Alligator mississippiensis: one gene and its partners. The protein of the gene in region 3 purifies or fractionates together with the protein of the main gene of each other region. This does not show direct contact. Links are inferred from orthologs where the notes say so. Each region holds a gene or a part of one and is shown on either strand. Other genes may lie near its edges.

Region 1 (7,984 bases), about 16 Mb from region 3:
GGGTGGAGGAGTTGACCCCAGGAATGCCAGGGTCAAAAAAAAACCTGTGCAGAAAAAAAACTGGGGTGGTGCATGTGGTAGCAGTGCGCACCACCCAAAACCAGAACCTGGCCTGCTAGAGCCATACTCTGGTGGCTGACCAGGCTCCCAGCTACAGAAGCACCGTGGCTGCAGCTTTCCCGGCCCCCTGGTAAGGCTGCTGGGGCCAGCACAGTTGCTGGCCCCAGCCTCCTGTATCCCACCCAGGGTAACCTGCCGTGCGCCAGAGCATGTGTGGCACAGGTGTTCCCCAGGCACAAGTAACAGCAGCACATACAAGTAGCAGAAGCACACCTGCTACTTGTCCCCAGGAAACCAAATGTCCAGGTTATTCTGGACTCAGTCATAATGGCTATTTTTATATCATGAGGATATATACAAGTGAAAGTGAAGCAACTGATCAGTGTCATAAACAATCCATTTAAACTAATACCCAAAAATGTATTAAGTGTAATCTATACCAGACAGATTGTAGGATGCTGACAGTTAAAAGGAATAATGTCAAATCAGTTATCTATAAAGTAATGGACACTTAAAATACCTCAAGCTCCCACTGTCAGAAAAGTGTAATTATCTTACTGTGTTACTTGGAGAAGCAGCTACCTTACACACAAGCTGCAAATTCATTGGATCAATCCTTAGCTGACTGCACTGTTTTCATGAATCAATTTACGTCTGAGCTATAAACCAAATAAAATGAATCATAACTTGAATATTTCTTAACAAGTAGATTACATCTGTGTCACATTTTATACGAATGCTCATATATGCTTTATGAAGTTTGGAAGAATCATTATAGAACCATTTTTTGGTATCTGGTATATCTTTTCATAAAGGTAATGTTAAGTATACTTTATTTTTTCAATACTATGACAACAAAAAGTTATGTTATTTTTTTCAGCAATATTACAGGAACACTGTGGATTCTCAGTTTAATCCATACAAACAGACCTTTAGTCACAAACGAAGGACTTCATATGGATATGGGCTCTACTTCCCAAAAAGCAGATTACAGGATTGGGGTTTTAGTAGATGTGGCATGTGGGGCTGGTCTAGGAGATGCACTACACATGGCACACACAGAGAGAGCCTGGGGTGTGCACTGCATGTGAAGCCCATGCCAGACCATCCTTGTGTGCTGGATCTGACACAGAGAGTCAATCTGTGGGCCCAATCCAAACTGGACCTGGACCCAACATGTAGGGCAGGTCTGACACAGGCATAGCACTCAGCACGTGCCCCAGACTGTCTCCATAGGCCATGTGCAGCATGTGCTAAACCCTGCCCCATGTGGCACACAGCGCACAAGGCCAATCCAGGGTGCATACTGTATTTGGTACCCATGCCATACCGGCCCTGCACACTAGGTCTGGCACGCACAGCCAGTCTGTGGGCCTGGGCCTGAAGTGCACAAACCCCAGGTCCAGTGCATAGCTGGTTTGAAACAGGCACTGAAAGCAACACATACCCCACACTGGCCCTCCATGTTGCACACAGCGTATACACCAGCTCCAGCCCCTGTGCCAAATGCAGTCTGTGGCAGATGGGCTGGGACCAGTGTGCTGCATACAGCATGCACTGGTCTGTGACCCACAGGCAGCACTGATGGCCAGATGACAGGGCCCCATAGGCCACCACTTTGACACCCCTGGTATGGATCTATTCGAGCTAACTGTAACCTAACTCCTTCCTGTTTCAGCAGCATCCTGACCATAGCAGCACAGAGCTCAGCCTGGGAGATAGAATCATATAGAAGTAGGACCAGAAGGGACCTTGAGATGTCATCTAGTACCAGGACCCATTTGTAAATATCGATGGCCAGTCCTGACCCAGTGCCCCTCACTCCTGATCTGCTGCCCTCTGCCCCTACCATATGAGGCAGGAGGTGGGTGTGTAGGGCAGCAGGGCACTCAGCAGCCCTCTACAGGCTGGAGCATTGCCAGCCTGCAAGGGAAAAGCCCTGGTTTCATCTGGTTTTCTCCTTTAAAGGAGAATCCATTTTTTAAAAGTGTGTTGATCTACTTTTAAAGTTTATTCAAGACCTTTTGGTATATTCTTGTAACCCACTTTTGGGTCACTACCCATGGGTTGAGAAACGCTGATCTAGTCCAACCCCCGGCCTGAGACTTGAACCTCGCACTTTGGGGTTATTAGCACCGCACTCTAACAGAGCTGAATGGCCACCAGATCTTTAACCCAACTTGTTCAGCATATTTCCAAGCCCGCAGACTTTGTCACTGCTGCAGCAAAACCTGTCTGATTCCCCAGCAGAGCGGCAGCTGAAGCCATGTCCATCTGAAGCCAGGCAGTGGGCACAGCTGCGCGCCCAATTCCTTTTTATATATACACATGCGTGTGCACGCTACACATGACGTACACACACGTATTTATATGCATGTATTTATACACGATGTACACATGTACATTATATACACGTGCACATGCATTTATATGTATACACACACGTATAAACATACATATGCATTTCCAATCGCCACTTCAATTCCCGATCCCACCCGACGCCCCCCCGCGGGCCGTGTAACTCACAGCCCCTAATGCGTGTCCCCCCACACCGGGCCTCGAGCCGCAGCCCGAGCCACGCGACCCCTGGGCCCCCGGTCCCGCGCTCAGCTTGACGCATGCGCGCACACAGCCCCCCCCCCCCTTGGTCTGGAGAGCGCATGCGCGGAGCCCCCTTCGCTCTCCCCCGCCTGGGACAATCCGCCCGCAGCGCCCCGAGCAGCGGGTCAGCGCACGGCGCAAGCGCTTCGGATTGCCGGGGAGGGGGGCGGGGCGGACCCGCTCGGCCCGCTGGCAGCACCCGACCAGTACCTGGCCAGCAGCTCCAGGTCCTCCAGCGCCGCCAGCAGCCGATCCCGGGTGCTGCTCCGCTCCCCGCCCGCCGCTGCCGCCATCACGCCCGCCGCCGGCAGCAGCGAGAGGCGCAGCCAGGCTGCGGCGCAGCCCGGGTGGGCCTGGGCGCAGCGGACGGCCACAGCGGCCCCTGTTGGCGGGAGGGCGTGAGGAGCAGGGCGTGGGTAGGCTGCCCCAGCTGCGCATGCGCACTAGGGCATAGCGGCCCTTGCCTAGGCAGCTCCATTTGGGGGCGGGTCTGGTAACGTGGGTGCGTGTGTTTTGTTTTTTCTCAAGAGAAAACCGTGATGATTAGGGACTTTGGTTTTCTCTTGAGTAAAAACAAAACAAAAACATCTCCAATTTTCAGATTAAAAATAGTAACCCAAAATCCACGACTATCCCTGTATAGATAGATATAGATAGCTATATTAATGGTGTTACATTTTAATCATGGAAAAATGAGGATTTGGGGTTACCTTTTTTCATCTGAAAATTGGGGATTTTGTTTTTTAATCAAAGAAAACCAGGCTCCCTGCTGATGATACATGACTGCATGTGGAAGGGAGCAGGAGAGCAAGGGGATGGGGGGAAGATAGAGCAGAGCTCTCACTGGTTTTCTCGGCCATACTTTTGGGCGGCCTCAAAACCCTCCAGAAACACTGTTCAAATTATCAAAGTAGGAAGGAAACCTTGGAGCTCTTTTCACAATGAAAACGATGGTTAAACCCACAAAATACACATTCTTTATTTTCTGCCCCTTAGCAAATGCATTTTGCTTTCTTCAGAGCTGTCTGAAGCAGAATGCAGCGCTGGCTCTGCAAGCCTGGTGGGAGGTGCCACACATGAGTCCTGGGCTGCTCCTGCTAGGAGTGAGGACTTGCACCACAGATTCGGGAGGCAGCAACATCATGTGGCAACTCTGAACTTTTTTTGTTTTTTTTAAAGCAACCCTCTAAACTGTTAGGAAGCTTAAGAAACAAAAATGAAAAATCCTGAGATACCTCCATTAATGGGAAAAATTACAGGAACCCAAAGATACTTAAACAGGTTAAGAAAAGAAAAAAAATGTGCAAGGGGACCAGAGGCAAGGATTGTAAAGCAGGAATAAAGGAACCAGCATAATGCCTTCTATGGTGTGGTCAGTGAGGCTGGCTCCCTGGGATAGCCAGCAGCCCCCCTGTTTTCCCAAGTACTTTTCACACTAGGCTAGGGGAAGAAAAACAATAAAAAGTCAACATTAGAAATGCTTGGAATTTTATTGAAAGTCTCAGAATATCTTTTTAAAAAATCCAGCTCCTGGAGTCAAGTTATGACATGCAAATTTCAGATTTCATTTTTCAAAGCAGCATGATTCTAGCCAGCATATTTGCAGAGAAAAGCTTGAAAAGGCAATTCAGATGTACTACAAGAAAACCAGAAGGCACATTCTTTAATTTCATGATTTAGAACCCAACCTCCTAGTTTTGGAGGGCTAATTAAAGGCTTTTAAACATTGGGAGTAAGCAGTGTTTAAACTGTGATTTTAAAACTATATTAGACTGAGCAGTGCCTGAATCTGCTTTTAACTTAATATTTGCTTTAATTAAAAGTTTGCAGTGATTTCCTTTTGAGTTGATAGTGTGTAAGCAATTGAGTTGGGCAATAACAAAGAGGAAACAGATATATAGTTATAGATCAGGGCGGGCAATTAGTTTTGGCAAGCCATTGAGAGCCGCATGACAGGCAGCCCAGGGCAGATAAATACTAATTTTCCAAATTTTTTAGGGGCCCCGCAGGCCGAATAGAATGGCCTGATGGGCCACATCCGGCCCCCGGGCCACATTTTGCCCAACCCTGTTATAGACCCTGTCCTGCAAATTGTTGCATGGTGGACTCTTGCCGTTTTCCTGAACCTAGCTGAAGTCAGCAGGACTTCACGCAAGTGCAGAAGTCTGCCTTACAGAGATCAGATTGGAAGGTAATTAGTAGATACAAATCATAGCCCCTGCAGACAATTTGTTTTTATTTTGAGACCTTCATTTTTTTAGATGGTCTAACTCTAAACAAACCCCTGAGCCTCTGTGCAGAGCTGGCTTTACTCATATTGGATGACTTGCATTGGTAATTTAGCTTGGGGGATCTCCCACAGTGCAGGCAATTGCCTTGTATTCTCATATAGAAAACTGGCTTTGCCTTTGTGGAGCCTAAGTGAAGACAAGGGGATTTATTAATAGGCATAGCTACAGGTAGAAGTCAGGGTAATACAGGATAGGAGCAGAGATGGACAAAAACAGGCCAGAAGTGCAGGGGCAGAAGGGTCTGTAACCACTAGATACAATCACCTATAAAAACAGGAATTGAATGCAGGAATCCCATTTAACTCCTCCTCTGCTAGTAAACAGGTGTGAAAATGGCTAACAAAATGCACTTCTTGTCCTTATTCTTGTGACAAGTCCACATAGAGGAAAAGATATCCTATTACTGCTATTATTCAAGTTCAAGTGGGTCCATGCTATGGATCTATATAGGTTCCTCAACTCTGTTGATGCCTCCGCCTCATACCTCCCCCACCATATTGTGGGTCCATATGGTTTCCCATGATGGGATGAAGAGTTGGGAGGAGGAAAGGGTTCTTTTTTTAAAAAAAGAAAGAAAGAAAAAAACTTGAACTACTTTTTACAAAATATACATTAAGAACATTATTATGGTGGTCAAGTCAAACACACTAACTTTGAGAATATTAATATTAAGGTTTCTTGTATAACCTTAAGTAGATGTCTTTATGTATTCAAGGGAAGCGATTCTGCCACTTAAATCAGCACAGGTGAGGCCTTACCTGGAGTACTTGGTCTAGCTTTGGGCTCTGCACTTCAAGAAAGGTGCGGACAAATAAGAAAGAGTCCAGCAGAGAGTGACAAAATTGATTACAGGCAGAGGCATAACAATGCAGCTGAGCACCTGGGGCAGCTGCAACACCTGGGGATTGCCGTGACTTCCAGCTGCTGCATTGTTGCTAGCACGATTACATGGCTGTCAGCAGCAGTTCCCCAACCCAAGGTGGTGCCAGTTGCCCCACCCTAGTTATGCTACTGATTACAGGACTGCAGAAGCATGACTTATAAGGAAAGGCTGAAAGAACTTGGATTACCATATTTACTTAAATATAAGATGAGGTTCCTTCTCCCATCCCCCACAATCAGCATGGGGAAAAATGTCCCTTGGCTTATATTCACATAGAAGGAAACCTCCTTAAATACATTGTCTATCATTAAACTTCTGCTCAAAGCAGCATATACTCAGTAATGGAAACCAGCTATGAAGCTGATTGAATTCAGCCAATGCTAAGCATGACTATAAAACACATGACCCACACTGGGCAAGCATTCTGATTTATATATATATATGTGTACACACACACACACACGAGCCTGTGTGAGCCCAGTAACTTCCTGCACGTGGCAGGGGACCGGGCTTGGTGATCTTACAGGTCCCTTCTGGTTCTATGATTCTATGATTATATATATACCCCCCCATCTCTACAAATCTGTCTTGTGACCAATATGGTTCACTCAACAGCCCAAACAACACCTTTACAGTTAAACCATTCTCATTCCCATTACAATAACTGCATCATGCACCTGTGCAATAAAAAACAACTATGAAGTTGATTAAATGCAGTTAAAACTGAGCATGACTATAAAGCACGTGGCCCACATTGGGCAAACATGCTAATGGGAGCTCTGTGTGTGTGGCTGTTAAAAACATGGTCAGGTGTTCCCTCCACAGGTACTGGCACTGAGCCTGGAAGTACTGCAATGCCAGACCAGGACCAGGAGGACCAGAGCCAGACCTACACCCTCCCCTTGATGCCAAAAAAATGTAATTTATTAGAAAATGTTTAAGTTCTAATAACAATGTTCAAAGCACAAGGAAATATAGAACTACCTGAGTTGGGGGCTACATAGGGGTGGAAATGCAACTAATGCAACTAAATTACATTTGAAACATGCAACCAACTAAGCCTGGGTGTGGGAAGGGGAAAAGGAATGGAGGGTGCATGATGCTTATAAATCAGAGAATATACAGGAGATCTTGCACAACAATACTGCATTGTAATAGGGAAATGGTTTAGAAAAGATACAGTTACAAATAACATGCAGGATACAATTGTGGGGTGGGGGGGGTGAAGAGTCAAGGATTAGGAAGAGTCCTTGGAGATAGGGTTGTGGGGGTGGGGAAGAGTCCAGGATTAGGAAGAGTCCTTGGAGGCAGGGTTGCACTGATAGAGAATTTTAGGACTGATACTGATAGCCGATTTTTAAGGAATTGTATGGGCTGATACTGATCCGATTTACGATACCTAGCCTGGTAGCGTGGAGAGCTGCCTCTAGATGGTAAGTCTGGTGTGGTGGAAGCAGGGGGAGGGGCATGGGGGGGCAGATCAAGTCCCCGTGGTGAGGGAGGCGTGGGGCTGGGGCAAGCACTGCCCAGCTGGGGCAGGGCAGGTGCAGGACAAAGTCACGGTTAGTCCGGGAGGTGGGGGGGTTCTGGCTCATCCAGCACTCACCTACTTGTTCAGCAGCTCCCGCTGCTGCTCCTGCTGCTCATCTGCGAGGAGGGGGGCATGTGCCCCAGGTTCTGCACAGGGCAGGCCAGGGCAGGCTGGGGCCAGGGTTGCGCCAAGCTCTTTCCGGCAGGGCGGGGCTGCGCTGGGAAGAGGCTACAGTGAATTTGTGGCTGCAGCCCGACCCTATAGCCCCTTTCCCAGTGCAGCCCTGCCCCTCCAGGAAGAGCTTGGCACAGCCCTGGCCCCAGCCCTCCCTGCGCAGATCTGGTGGCTCATGCCCCCCTGCCCCCCATGCAATCCCGAACGAACAGCAAGAGCAGCGGCAGAAGTCACCGCACAAGGAGGCAAGCACCAGATGAGCTGCTGGACCAGCAACTCCCAGACGAGTTAAATTCTGTTGACTCTGGTGGAGCCCAGCCCAATGAACTGTATGGTAAATCATGAGCCTCTTGATTTTGGTCAAATATCACGTGTAGTTCAGCTACACAAGTTATGGTGATGGGGGCTGGCTCTCAGGCTTTCCCTACAGCTTGCTCCTTCAGC
Region 2 (6,730 bases), on a different chromosome or scaffold from region 3:
TTTGTAGCGCTACAAAAGTAACAGGTCAGAAGCCTTAGGCACATTAGATTTAATGCCTAGGTTTTTAATGAAAAAATAGCCCTTGTGGTGGAGTGTGTGCATTTGAGAGTTTTCATTGCTAAAATTAAATATTTTATACTAAATACAAATCCCATGGAGCTGTAGGATAGGGTTTGATTTATAAATACTGAAAGAGAAAATGGGAAACCAATTGCAATCAAAATAAACCACTCTTGCAGTACTCTTATAATAAATCATCTCATCTTAGTTTTATAAATTGCTCTAATACTATAAATACCCAACCCCCATCCATTGTATTCACTCCAACACGTGCAACAGTTGGGCATTGCGATGCTTGACTTTCATGAAGCAATCAGACTGTGAGGTGTTTGACTGTATTCCTAACTGCAGATTTTAAAGTATTATGAAGTACACTTGCGGCTAAAAATCCTGATTTTTGTTTTGTTTTTTCTTTTTCTCTCTCTCCACCCCCAAAGAGCTTTTCCAAAACCCCAGATGTCAGGATGGAATCTTTTTTTTTTTAATAGCTTGAGAACATTGTTTTAAAACCTGGAACCTGAATATTACAGCATTCAAGAGCAACAAAAGTACAACTGTTGAAAAGGCATGCAAACATACGCTACTGGGGAAGCAGTATTACATAAGTTAAATGTCTTCAAACTTGGCATTGTATGCTCCCTGTTCTAGTATTAGTGTGTGTGCGTGTACACATACGCACTCTGGAGGGGCAGGAATGCTAATACAAACTTATGTTAAATGCCTTTCCTCATACTGCTTAGAATTTCATTTGAAAGAATTGCTTTTAAGCTGTTTTCAAACATCTTTTATTCACAGCTACCCTATAACAACAAATTACCCCAAACTGTCAATTATCAGAGTGACAAAACTAAATACCAAATAATTCCTGGCCCCTAGCTTTAATCTTGCAAGAGGTATTTTGTAAGAACAGTTTAAGGAGGCAGGTCATTATGACCCTGAACCAAAGTGGTCTGCAACACCCATGACTGCTTTTTATTCACATTAACCTTTTAGGGTCAATTTTCTCCAAGTGCACTAATGGTTTCAGCTGCTCAGCAAAGTTCCTCATATCATCAGAAACCATGTCCTGACCTGCTGGTGCCACTACACTCAGCTCTACAAGGTATGAGAGAGACAAGGGCTCTATACTTTCAGTGTTTCCTGGCATCAGGATGCGAAAGATCTTGTATACCACAATCTTCATGATGCCCTTGCGGAATACGTGGCCCTTGGCAACGAATTCATGGTCCATACGGAAGCCCATCTCCACCAGGAAGTCGGTCAGGTTCTCCGAGGTGGCAATATCTACGCAGTTACGGACCAGAGCATGGCGGTTTTTGTCTCCTATTTCTGGCTGGCCCAGGTAGCGCAAGTGCCAGGGCATGCCTGTTTTGTCCATCGAGCGCCGTGCCCTCAGCACAAAGGGGCTGGCTTGCTGCCCCTTGAGGAGAAACACCATCTCGTGATCGAGGAACGTCTCCGGTTCCATGTTGTCGCACAGGCCCCGCAGCCGATGGAGGAGACTCTCTAGGCTTTGATCCAGAACGCTCCCTGGAGAAGACAGACCGGAAACGTCACTGCTCACCAGTTCACGAACACCCATGCCCTTTCCTCTCCTCTATTGGCACAAGATTGCCCAGAAACCCCTCCTCCACCCCGGCTTCACAAGGGAGCAGTCTGTTGCCTTGAGGTTTAAAACACCAGGCTCTTTTTTCCTGAAAGCAGCAGGGAACTTAATTACTTGAAGAAATAAAGGTGCACAGTGTCAGCGCTGGCCCTGCCAGCTTTTGTTAGTCTGGCCGTCCAAGGCCGCCTGTCCCGTCCCCCGCCGGTTACATACATCGCGCAATTAATGGCTCAACTACGCAATACATGTAGCCTGCCCGTCTCTCTGAGCCCAGGCCCTGCCCACCTCGTGCACTGCCTGAGCACTGTGCCAACCCGCAGCCGGTTTCTTCCCAGCTGGAAGGCGGGGGCTCGGGCCGCCCCAGGCAGCGCGGGCCGGGGCTGGGCTCACCTTGGAGCAGGTACTCCATCATGTTGATGGTGCCGCCCGTGACGGGCATCATGGTGACCGGCGGCGCCTCCATGCTGCCCGGCCACCTAGCTCGGCTGTGGGGGGGCAGAGGTAGTCGCTCGACAGCTCGGGCAGGGCGCATGCGCACACTCGGCCGAGGATGGGGGTGGGAGGGTTCCAAGCGCGTCCAAACCTGGTGCGCATGCGCCGCCGTCTCCGCGCCAATGGGAGGCGGCGGGGGCGGAGTCCGGGGGTGGGGTTCTCCGGCCGGGGGCGGGGCCTGTCCTGCGCCGCCCGCGAGCCCTAGGGAAGCTGCCAGCTGGGAGGCGGGCGCCTGGTGACTCGCGCGCTCCTGGGGGCGGGGCCATGTCACCTCGCCGTTATTCAGCATCCGGAGGCCAACCGCCGCGGGCCCTCGGCCCTGCCCCCACGGCCGCTGCTGCCCAATCCGGGTACGCGCGGTTCGCGCCCTTCAGCCAGTAACCCCCGCCCTGTCTGCCCCGCCAGCGCAGGGTCCTGACATTTCTTCCTACCTCATCCGCTTAAGCTCGTGCCCTGGGCACGCCGCTGTTTTGTGAACCCCGCCAAGGGCCCTGGCAGCCGGCAAAGCTGCAGCGCCCGCCTCGCGCTGCCCGCCCCCACCTCCGTGCCCTGCAAAATCGTCGATTTCACCAGAAAAAGTGTCTGAGAGAGAGAAATAACCCGGGAGCAACCAGAGTTAAATGTCTCCCGAGAGAGTTTCTCTTGGGACACCAAACTTCCCTACACTTCTCCTGAGCAACGCCTCTGTAGTTCAACTCCTGATTTACAAATGTTTTCATGCTGAGGAAGAGCACCGCGCCCCCCAACGCCTGTCCAGCTTCCTCTCAACCAAGCAGGTGGTCCAATAAAAGAGGCTGCCCTGGGAAATCCTTGCCTCTTCACTTCACCTTTTCAGTCAGACGGATTTGCAATTGGGGCCCTTCTCTAGTTATCTCAGCTGCCCTTCCCACTGATGCCGTTTCGTTTCAGTCCTTTTTTTCTTCGTTTTTATTTGAACAAACCTAATGAGCTTACAACCAGCTCAGGTTTCGCAGCACAGTACCACACCTGTGCCATGCCTCATTTTGAGTGTCCTAACACAACTGGTTACATTGAACAGAAATTGATTACAACATACTATATTTATGCTATTATTTCTGCTTACCTTTCTGTCTGTTGTAGCTTCTGTAGGCCTCTGTCTTCTCCTGTTTCTAACAGAAGCCTGTAACAAAACTTAGCTTAAATGGATATCTTCAGGAAGAGTGGCCCACAGTTGTACCAATTCCCATGTCTTTTGTTATCTAGAAATTTTGTTTTAGACTCCAATTGCAGATTTTTTCAATTTCTTGGTGGATGGACAATCTAAAATTGATGATAGACAATGAATGTTTGTCTCCATAAAGTTATTTTCATGGATGACTAATGCTTTGCTTTGTTATTAAATGTAATGGTTTCACTTAGCTTATACTAATGTGTATAAGGAAGACAGCTCATACCAGTGGTGACATGTACATGCACCCCCTGAGAGCGCTGGTGCACCCCCTGACAGGCAGCACTCCCCGCTTAGGCAATGGGCAGGGGGGCAGGCGGGAGCGCTGGTGTGCCCCCTGCAAGCACCAGCTGGGTAGTGGGGGTGCCAGGAGAGGCGCTGCTGGCATTTCCAGGAGCACCGCTCATGTTTCCCAGTCAGTGCAATAGGCTGCTGGGGGACCCACCATGGTTACTGACTGGCCGCTGACTCAGGAGGCACCAGTTGCCCATAGCTCATACTCTGCTGTCTATTATGGCATGTCTATCCTGTTTACTGTAGTCAAATGTGGGATACAAATCGATTGTCTTGGCCTGTGAAAGTAATTGAAACCTCTGGCCATATTAATTCCTTCTTTCTTAAGCCAAGGTTGGAAAATGTACTTTGATCTATGGTCTAGATCCAGCAAAGGATTTTGGCAAAACTGAGGCATCTAAATTAAAAATTTGGATCTAAAATACCACTGCTCAGTTGCCACCTAACTCTGAAAGCAACTAAACACCTGCTTGATAGTCACATTTCCTCTACACTCTTGTGCACGCCTAGAACTGCTCATCTCAGTTCAGTGCTGTTCTTCACCTAAACCTTCTCATGGTCCAGAAACTAGTCATTGGCTCTGCCTAGCATGATTTGCTCTGCGTTCTCAGAGCTTGTAAAACAAGCACCAAGCAGGCTAGGATCCCTCACAAAATGAGCACTTTAAAACAGTTGGATGAGGCGGCATGATGCTGGTATCTGTCTTTTACATTGTAGCCCAGATAACTGGGCTGTATACTCCCCTTCTCCAATTGAAGGGGATTGTTAGCTGGCAGGTGTGCTGTGGGGTGGGAACTGCAGACCGCTCAGTTTCCCTCCGTCCCTATAGAACCAGGCCAGGACAGTCAGGGGACATAACTGTATACAAATGTATTTACATTAACTTATCACAAGGGAAAGGAACATGGATATAAACATATGTACAATGTATATATATATATATATATATATATATAAGATATCTAAACCAGTGACATAAACAATACCCTCTGGGTAAATGACATAAAACCTTATACCAGTGCTCCAGATACAGGTAAGTCATTGGTAAGTATCTGATCTGAAACAAATAAACCTCAAAGATAATCCCGAGGGGATACCCCAATGCCCTTGGGCTTTTCCCAAGCCCTACAAAGAAGCTGGTAACTTTAGGGGGGCCATCTCAGTGGGACCTCCCCTTTTAGGAGGCCTTAACTAACCAGGGGAAGACTCCCCTCCCCTGTGGTAATCCTCTTTTCCTTGCAACTCACGGCTCCCAGGCCTGCAGGGTGGTCCTCGTCCTCTGCGCTAGGCTGCTCTCTCGCCTGCAGTGGGCTTCAGTGGGGGTCGCTGTCCCCTGGAACAGGGCTCCGCTACGCAGGGCTTCTGGGGCCTCTGGCTTGGCCCTGTCGGCTGGCTCAGTAGCCCAATCACCGTCTGGCTCTTTGGACTCAACCTTTTGCTATGGGTCGGAGGCCTGGGCTGCTTCGTGCAGCACCAGGCTCAGTCCGCTCCCAGACCCTCCATGCAGCGCCTCCTGCACCAAGCTCCCAGCCTCATTTCGAGGGTTGAGGACCTGAGCCGCCCAAGCGCTCCAAAGGTCCTACTCCATGCACCGGCCTGTGTACCGTGTCTCTGGCCACGCACCAGAGGTTGCAGACCTGAGCCGCCTCACGCAGCTCCCAGGATCTGGACGCCATGTTGCTGTGCTGCACCCCGAAAGCCTAGCTGCTGGAGCCGTTCCTGCTAATGGAAGTCTTCAGGGGCACTTCTGGGCTGCTGCTTTGCCCTCCTGAGCAGCTCTCCTCAGCTCTTCTAAGCCCCGCCCTTCTCTCTCTCCTGGAGGTGCTCCCCTCATGCTGGGCATGCAGCTCCTTTTGTATGCTCCAGGACTCCACCCCTGAAGTCTTCCAGACTTGAGTGTTGCAGTCTTCAATCAGGTCCACAACAGGGGTGCATTGGGGGGGAACGACTCCTCTCTCCCTCCCCTCAGGAAAAGGGCGTGACTGAACTCCTCTGACTGCCTCCTGATTGGGGGATGAGTTCAACCAATCAAAACAGCAAGATTTCAAGCCTGGGACTCAACCCAAGCTCCAAAACGCAAGCCTGCTACAACATTAATATTCTAGGATGCCTGTAGACATTTGGAAATGCTACTCCGATGCACTGTAATTACAGCACATTGGAGCAGACTTGATTAATTGAGTCTGCTGGAGTAATTATAGGCCAGTAATTCTGGCAAGTAATAGTAGACCAGCCAGTCTCACCTCCATCCTTGGAAAGTTCTTTGAAAAGATTATGAAGGATCATATTTGTGGGAGTCCAGTGGGAAAAATAATGCAACAGGGCAACCAGCATGTATTCATAGCAGGTAGATCATGCCTAACCAATCTGGTTTCATTTTATGACAGGGTCACAAAACGCTTAGACGCAGGAGTAGAGTGGATGTCATTTTCTTGGATTTTAGGAAGGCCTTCGATACGGTATCTCATCCTATTCTCACAAATAAATTAAAAGGCTGTGACATAGATGTTTACACAGTCCAACAGGTGGCAAATTGGCTTAGCAGTCGCACACAGGAGAGTGGTAATAGACAGGTCAGTATCGAACTGGAAGGATGTGGGTAGTGGGGTCCTGCAGGGTTCGGTCCTTGGACCTGTACTCTTCAATGTCTTCATCAGTGACTTGGATGTGGGTGTGACGTGTACTCTGTCCAAGTTTGCGGACGATAATAAATTGTGGTGTGAAGTGCACAATCCGGAGGGTAGGGAACGATTGCAGACGGACCTGGATAGGTTAGAAAAGTGGACAGTACACAATAGGATGCAGTACAACAAGGACAAATGCAGAGTGCTTGCACCTAGGGTGCAAAAATATCCAGCACATCTACTGGCTGGGAAGTGACCCTCTCAGCAGCACAGAAGCGGAAAGAGATCTCAGAGTCATAGTGGACTCCAAGATGAACATGAGTCATCAGTGTGACGAAATCATTAGCAAAGCTAAGTGCACTTTATCATGCATCAGCAGATGCATGACAAATAGAACCAAAGAGGTGATACTTCCCCCCTATGCGGCATTGGTCAGACCGCAGTTGGAGTACTGTGTCTAGTTTT
Region 3 (7,431 bases):
TAACAAATGCAACCGTATGCAGTTACCACATGCTTCAAATAAACAGGCCTTTTCGTGAGAGGAAGGATGGAGAACGAGAGAAGAGGCAACAATAGAACAAGCCAGAATATGTATAAGCAGCATGTTGCCAAATGGCTTGCTGTTTTCCTCCGCAGGCTGGAAATTTTAGATTGTGTATATATTCATGAACAGTACGAAAATTGTTTTAAAAACCATGTTTGCATAGATAACTTTTTAAATGTGCATTTATTTTGAGTCCCATTTTAGAACAAACGTATTAGACAAAGTAAGAGCTAGCAGTAACTAGATTTAGACAGACTACAAAAGTGGGCAGATGAGAATAGGATGGGGTTCAACGTAGACAAATGCAGGGTGCTGCAGCTTGGGAGAAGGAATCCACAGCATACATACAGGCTGGGGAGTTCCCTTCTTGAAAGCACAGAGGCGGGAAGGGATCTTGGAGTCATTATTGATTCCAAGATGAACATGAGCCGCCAATGACAGACTGCAGCCAGCAAGGCCAGCCATACCTTGTCATGCATCCGAAGGTGCATCTCAAGCCAGTCCAGAGAGGTGATCCTCCCCCTCTAAGCAACTTTAGTCAGGCCGCAGTTGGAGTACTGCGTCCAGTACTGGGCACTGCACTTCAAAAGGGATGTGGCCAGCCTGGAGAGGGTTCAGAGCAGGACCACCCACTTGGTGAGAGGGCAGCAGGACAAGCCCTATGAGAAGAGACTGAGGGATCTGAACCCGTTCAGCCTCAGCAAGGAGGCTGAGGGGGGACCTGGTGGCTGCCTACAAGCTCATCAGGGGGGATCAACAGCAAATAGGCAAAGCTCTTTTCTCCCCAGCACCACCTGGGGTGACAAGGAACAATGGTCATAAGCTGATGGAAAATAGGTTTAGGTTAGAGATCAGAAGGCAATATTTTACAGTTAGGGTGGCCAAAAGCTGGAACAAACTTCCCAAGGAGGTGGTCCTTGCCCCTATCTTGGGCAAATTCAAGAGGAGGTTGGATGATCACTTGTCTGGGGTCTTGTGAACCCAGCATTCATTCCTGCCTGTGGCAGGGGGTCAGACTAGATGATCTGTTCAGGTCCCTCCTGACCCTAGCTACTATGAAACTATGAAACTCCAGACACTGCTCTGTTAAGTATCATCATGCAGACTGATGATTCTGCTAAAAATGTTTGAATTCATGCATCATAAGTACTATCAAATTCTGAGTTCTTTTATACACTGCAGAGGTCTGCTACACTTAATAACTACAGAGAAAAGGAGTCTGAAAAGTGTGTGTTAATTACTGTTACCTTTTAATGTGTTAAACTTTTTTGTTCCCCTCAAATGCATGTGAAATTAATAAACGTTTTCTAAACAATATATATCCCAAATTATGGAATGGCTTTAGCTTACTGCTTTACTACTTCAAATACAGTATTTCACCTGTATTTTCCCCATGCCTATCAAGATATTGCTTTGCTTCTGGACTCAAAACATTTCAAGTCATTGTCATAGCAGAAAGCTCATCACGTATTCCTTACCTTTACTGAAATCTATAGGACAACCTATGCCAATGAAGTTATACATATACATGCTTGGAGGATTGAGACAATAATACTGAATTGTAAAAATCTTTATTCACACAGTTGAAAATTAGTCACCTAAGCAATAACTGTTCTTGTGAGCTGTTCAGGTTTGCAGAGCTGGGTTTTTAATTTATAAAGGAAGCACACACACGCACACACTAGCTGGCCCATCCCAGCAAACAAATAGAGACTGGAATGGTTATGCTAAAGATCAATCTGAGTATGTTTAAAATATCTTTAAATAGAGAAGTTTGTGCAAAACTGCATTTATATGTAATAATGGAAAGCACATCTATGTAACATCAGAAGTACATAAAGCCTAGCTAAATATATCATTCATAATTGACAGACTTCTTTACAAATCTCTTCCATTTACTGAATTACAAATATTTGCCACTTGAAAATGCTGAAATGACCCAGCATTACCTTCATGGGAAGGTGATTAGTAACATTTTAAGGTTACTGGGGAAGGGGTTCATCAAGGAGAAATAAATGGAGTAAGCAAACTAAAACACTGCTAAAACATTGGAGTAGGCAGAACAATGTGCTCTGTGCTTCCCATTTCTCCTGCTCCCCAAGTTCCATTGTGGAAAAAGTGATGCTTTGTTGTGGGTTAGTAAAACCTTACACAACAGCTTGGCCCCCTTCTTTTTCCAAGGATCTGTGCAAAACCCTGCATCTCCTGTGCTACAAACTGGCCACAGAAACAGATCCTCATTCCAAACGGTTGCCAAACCCCCTACAGGGCCGAGAGAGAGTTCAGCCACTAGAGCAATCCGCAACAACACCCAAAATGGTGACTCGAAGTAATAAATCAGACACAAACCCACTACTGGGGGAGGGGGCAGGGGGGGCTCCTATCCCACCCTACACAAACCAAAGGCTGGCCAGGCTGAGGCTTTTCTAAACCCGGACACTCATTTGTTCACCAGCAAAGTCGCCAAGTTAAACAGGATAGAGACAAAGATGGAGATACACCGGAGTACGATGCACACGCAGACAGACTTTTTTATCAAACCCCACCACAGAAAACACGCCTGGGGACAAAAAAAGCCAGCGGTGCCAAGACAGGGAACGAGAATGAGGGCAAAGAGAAGGGGAAGGGTCCGAGGTGAAGGGCGACAGGTGAGGGGCTACAGAGCAGCCAAAGGAAGAAGCGGGTGGGGGCCGGGGATGAGGGGAGCCCAGGCCGAGCTAGGGCAAGAGCAGGGGCCACCACGGGCCGGACAGCGACAGGCGCGCCCGGACGGATGTGGCCGAGGCCGGCGGGCGGTGGCTCGGGGGACAGGGCCACAAGGAAGAGGCCGAGGGGCGAGCGGGCAGGGAACTCACCCGTCTTTCCGCTTGGCTTTGTAGACGTGCCCGTAGGTGCCTCGCCCCACCTTGCAGCCCTCGTACTCGAACAGGTCCTCCACCCGCTCGCGCTCCCCGGTCAGCTTCACCTTGAAGTCATAGTCCATCTTCAGCGCCCGGCGCCGCCCCGCCGGCAGCCCCCGCCACCCGCCCCCCGCCCGCGCCGCGCAGCGCCGCCCCCGCCGGACCCCGCCGGCTCTGGGGAGCTGGAGCAGCAGGAGGAGGCCCCGCGGCAGCGACGCGGACCATGCAGGGGGAGCCGGCGGGCGCTGCTCCCTCCCCGCTCGCGCCCCCGCCGCGCCTCAGCCGGGTAGCGGCACCACAGCCGGTATCGCCACCGGAATACGGCGGCCGCGCCTGACCGCACTGCCGCAAAAGCGTCGCACGGGCGCGCTCCGCCCCCCCGCCGCCTCCCGGCTCCTGGCGCACCACGTGGAATCCAGCCGGCTGCGGCGACCCCCACTACAGCTCCCGGCGTGCCCTGCGCCACAGCACTGACGTGAGCTGTGCACTTTGCATGCCGGGAGTGGTAGTGCAGGGGGGTAGATGAGCGCCGCGCTTGGCTATGGTCGAGGCCGCGCGGGGCCTGCCGGGAGGTGTAGTCCGTAGGGTGAATGGTGGGGAGTACGAGACGGTGAGGAGGAGATGCCGCGGAACCTGGTGGCCGCGGCGCGCTGCATGCTGGGAGCTGTGGTCCGTGGGCGGGGACCGCGCTCAGCGCGGCATGGCGGGATTCGTAGTCAGCGAGGAGGGGAGGGGGCTTTCTGTCCCGCCCCGCCCCGCCCCGTCCCGTCGGGGACCTCGCACCTCCAGGTCTCGGGGTTGTGGGGTGATAAGCAGTAGCGTCTTCCAGTGCGGGGATTTAAGATTAAGGTACAGTTTAGGGCCTTGCAATATGAGGGGCTTCTAAATAAGAAAGGAGTCTGGACATTTTCGTTCTAATATGACAAAAATATACATCTATATGGCTACACAGTTATTAATAGTCAGTTCATAAATTTGTGCAGAAAAAACAATAATTCATCTTAAGATTTCATGACAGTCCACTTTTGTGGATTTCATGGATTGTTTTTATCATATGGGGCCTCTTAAAATGGACATAGTTTAAGGCTTCAGCATGTCATAATCTGGGAGCACTGGGTTCACCTCAGAAAGCCCCACCATAAACACATGGGAGACTGTGGGGAGCTGTAAGGTCATTGCCCCTCCTAGCAGCCCTGGCCTACCCAGCCCTTCCCTCCACCTCACAGGCACCTCAGCCCCCTGGTGCTCTGGGAGGGGGGCAGCAGCACTGGGCACAAGTGGCACAGAGTTAAACAGTAGGAGTTAGCCCACACAATCGGGGTATGAATTAAGGCGGAGCTGGAGGGGTGGCAGGGCTGAGCACCCCCCCCTCCCCAGTAAGAGACATGAGCCCCCTGTAAGATTTGAAAATCATAACCAGGGGGGCGCGACTGGATTGCTCCTTCACTTAGGTGAACTTGCTAATCAATGAACCGTTTGGGGTTTTTTTGCAGACCCCCACCCCTCCAAGAGTCAAAATATAATTCGAACTCTGCTCAGGATGCCTCACGTGACCCTTTTGTCAGCGATTCTCAACCAGGGGACCATGGAGCCCTTGAGACCCTTTCAAGGGTGCTGTGGAGTGCCACACAATGTTAACGCTGTGAGATGTGTAAACACAATTCACAAGATAAACCCAAAGATTTCAAATAGGAGTCCATAGCATCAAGAGCGTTCTGCCCTGTTGTGGCCTTTCTGAGTTCTGTGCAACAGAAGACTTGTTCTCACTATTTTTCTGTAGTCAAAAAACAAGTAAAAACTAAGAGCTCACATTTTGTGAGGGATGTCTCAAATCTAATGAGTTCTAGAACTGCTGGTGTAGACACAGGGGTCATCATGCGTCACTTCCTACCAAGTGGTTCTGCCTACTGCTGTGTTTCCAGCAAAGTTTATCAAGAACAACTGAGGTGATTGTGGTCCTTGTCTGCATAGTCCTTAAGAATATCATTTTAATCAATGTGATTTTGCAAGGCTAAATTCTAACAATCCAAGTTTCTCCTGAGTTCAAGTCACCTGCCTGTGAATGCAGAGGTATATTTGGATCCCTGGACACCATGATCCAATGATCATGATCTCAATCAGAGAAATGTAAGAGGTATGCTTGTTGAAAAATCTGTACATTTGGCTAATAAGGGATGACTTTCTGATTCCCTACTCAGGTTCATAAATATTTTCATCCAGGCCAGCCTGGCTGTAGAGTAGGGTTCTAGCAAGCAGGAATAAGGAGTCCAAAATCTGGCAAATCAGCACTAGAAACATCCCTGCCTCTCACATGGCATTTCTACTGGTCATGCACAGGCATGGTTCTCCCAGTTTCATTTTCAGTAAATGATGCTGGTGATAGCATACCTGAATTCTAGAGAGTTGACAGCACTAGGGCTCATAAAAATGTAGAACTTCTGAAAGTTTCTAAACCTCCTTCAGTTTTAATTGTTGTAAGCATGAAGATAGATTTCTGAAAATGGAGCTGTGAAGGGAAAAAAGGAAAATAATTGTTTGCTGCAGAAGAACACAAAAACGGAGAAGAATGTAAAATCAAGAGTAGCTTTCAGGGAGCCTGCATAATGTTTTACATCTTCACACTAAGCCACCTGAAAAATCTTTCATAATTTGCTAAACATCTTATAAGTCGAAGACAAAGCCACAATAAAAACAAAAGTATTATTTTCTCTTAGAGATGTTGGTCAGTTTTTAAGGAAGTTTAGCAGACTGTCTTTTTCCAAATGTGCCTCTTTCATTAGGTTTTCATGACACTTGGAATATTTACAATCCAGATCCAATGTCACTATAATCTTCGGTCTCTTTACTCTAGTTTCTAGTCCAGATCCTTATTAGGGGTAACACCTAGTATTAGCAATTCAAATGTATGCTTGCACAGTTGTAAAAGCTGGCTTAGAAAGAAAATGTCAATCTTTTTTATGAAATTAAATCATTAAAAACATTTCCATTGATGTTTTAGAATCAGCCTACACTTTTATTTCAATTAATAAATTTAATTGAGAGAGTGAATATTTTGTACTCATTTATTTCAGAAATCTGTCAACATGCAAAAGACTTCTATCGATGGCAAAAAGTTTTAGCTCCATTATTTAAAAGGAGACAGCACCACTTCTCCTAAAAGACAAGCGGTGCTTTATATTAAAGAATAAATGCTCTTTTTCTTGTGTATTGGCACTTCCAAGTTTTTTGTTTCTTTTCATCCTGTGCTGCTTCAGACTCAACAAAGTCAACAAAGCATTAAATATCTGCCTAAAAGTTTTGCCAAATTCAGGGCTTCAGACCTTTCTTTCACTTTTCCTCCTACTCCATCCTTTGCCATTCTTCATAGCCTCCTTGCCAACAGCGTGTTATTCCATCCCTGTGCTGTATTATAGCTCCATACTGTGATCTTCTTTGAGAACCTAACACCTGTAAATACTATCCGTATAGAAGTCATTATTTTTAACTCTGTTTGAGTTCATATAAATGGAGACAGGTACTAACGTGAACAGTGTCTGCTGTGAAAGCAGGGAGATCGAGGAGAGTTCATATCTCTAAATGTCTCTGAATACAGAGTTGTATTTACAAATAAATCCTGCAATGTCCAAGGGAGCTATAGGAATAAGCACATGCTAACTGTTAGAAGAGGACGCTAAACAAAGAAGGTCTGTGTTACCTGATCTGTAACAGCACAATACATGTGAATCTGGAAGCAAAGCTGAAGATTTGCTGTGTTTATTTGTATACTAATATCTGAAACAAAAGTACTGTACCAAGCTGCTTTCTGAAAGCACAGCTTAAGTTTGGGACATGGGTGTTTATACAGCAAGTTACTTGCTCTGTGCTTGGCAGTTTTCACAGCTGAAGAAAAAATAACTCATGGCAGCCACTTCAAGAAGTGTAAAACTGCCTTTCTACTTTGGAAAAACACTACTCATGCTTGGTTTCATTAATCAAACTTTTTGCCAACTTGATGCACTCAGAGCCCAGTAGGTCTTCCAATCTCTGTCTTCTTCACTGGACTTTTCTGCTGATTTTTTCTGTGATTAATATATATGGGCTAGCTTGTAAATTCTTTACATTGATGAAAATCTACCAACATGAGGGCTCCCATTTAAATCAATGGGACACTCAGGAGAGTAACTGCTCACCAGTGAAAAGTGTTCCTCAGGAAAAGATTGAGGGGAACAAAAGGGAATTTTAGCCTAGGTATTCAGGGCAGCCTGAACTGATTGATATTTTTTCTTAATAGGTCACAAACGGCTATTAGTTCCCTCTTTAAATTAAGGTTGTACTTTGGTTATATTATCCACATTTAAAATATGGAAATATTACAAAACACAGCCAAAATCCTAAATTTAGTTGTTGCAATGGGACATGTGGGTGTTGGGCAGAGATGAAGCCCTGACTTCAGGGCTAGGGGCAGAAGTTACACATAAACCATTTTAAG

Evidence for each region.
Region 1: the proteins of CDK8 (region 3) and MED4 purify together in Homo sapiens (affinity purification with mass spectrometry; 9 studies listed by BioGRID and IntAct, counting the BioPlex papers as one, with this or other methods). This does not show direct contact. The link is inferred for Alligator mississippiensis from reciprocal best matches to the Homo sapiens genes CDK8 and MED4.
Region 2: the proteins of CDK8 (region 3) and MED18 purify together in Homo sapiens (affinity purification with mass spectrometry; 5 studies listed by BioGRID and IntAct, counting the BioPlex papers as one, with this or other methods). This does not show direct contact. The link is inferred for Alligator mississippiensis from reciprocal best matches to the Homo sapiens genes CDK8 and MED18.

Annotation. Positions count from the first base shown.
Region 1 is NC_081824.1:413,318,928-413,326,911, forward strand, and holds the start of MED4 (mediator of RNA polymerase II transcription subunit 4), read right to left. Parts: upstream 3,020-7,984; 5' UTR 2,955-3,019; coding exon 2,872-2,954; intron 1-2,871. UniProt on the Homo sapiens protein: Component of the Mediator complex, a coactivator involved in the regulated transcription of nearly all RNA polymerase II-dependent genes.
Region 2 is NC_081826.1:254,262,295-254,269,024, reverse strand, and holds MED18 (mediator of RNA polymerase II transcription subunit 18), read right to left. Parts: upstream 2,209-6,730; 5' UTR 2,199-2,208; coding exon 2,057-2,198; intron 1,591-2,056; coding exon 1,037-1,590; 3' UTR 520-1,036; downstream 1-519. UniProt on the Homo sapiens protein: Component of the Mediator complex, a coactivator involved in the regulated transcription of nearly all RNA polymerase II-dependent genes.
Region 3 is NC_081824.1:429,551,217-429,558,647, forward strand, and holds the start of CDK8 (cyclin-dependent kinase 8), read right to left. Parts: upstream 3,085-7,431; 5' UTR 3,047-3,084; coding exon 2,919-3,046; intron 1-2,918.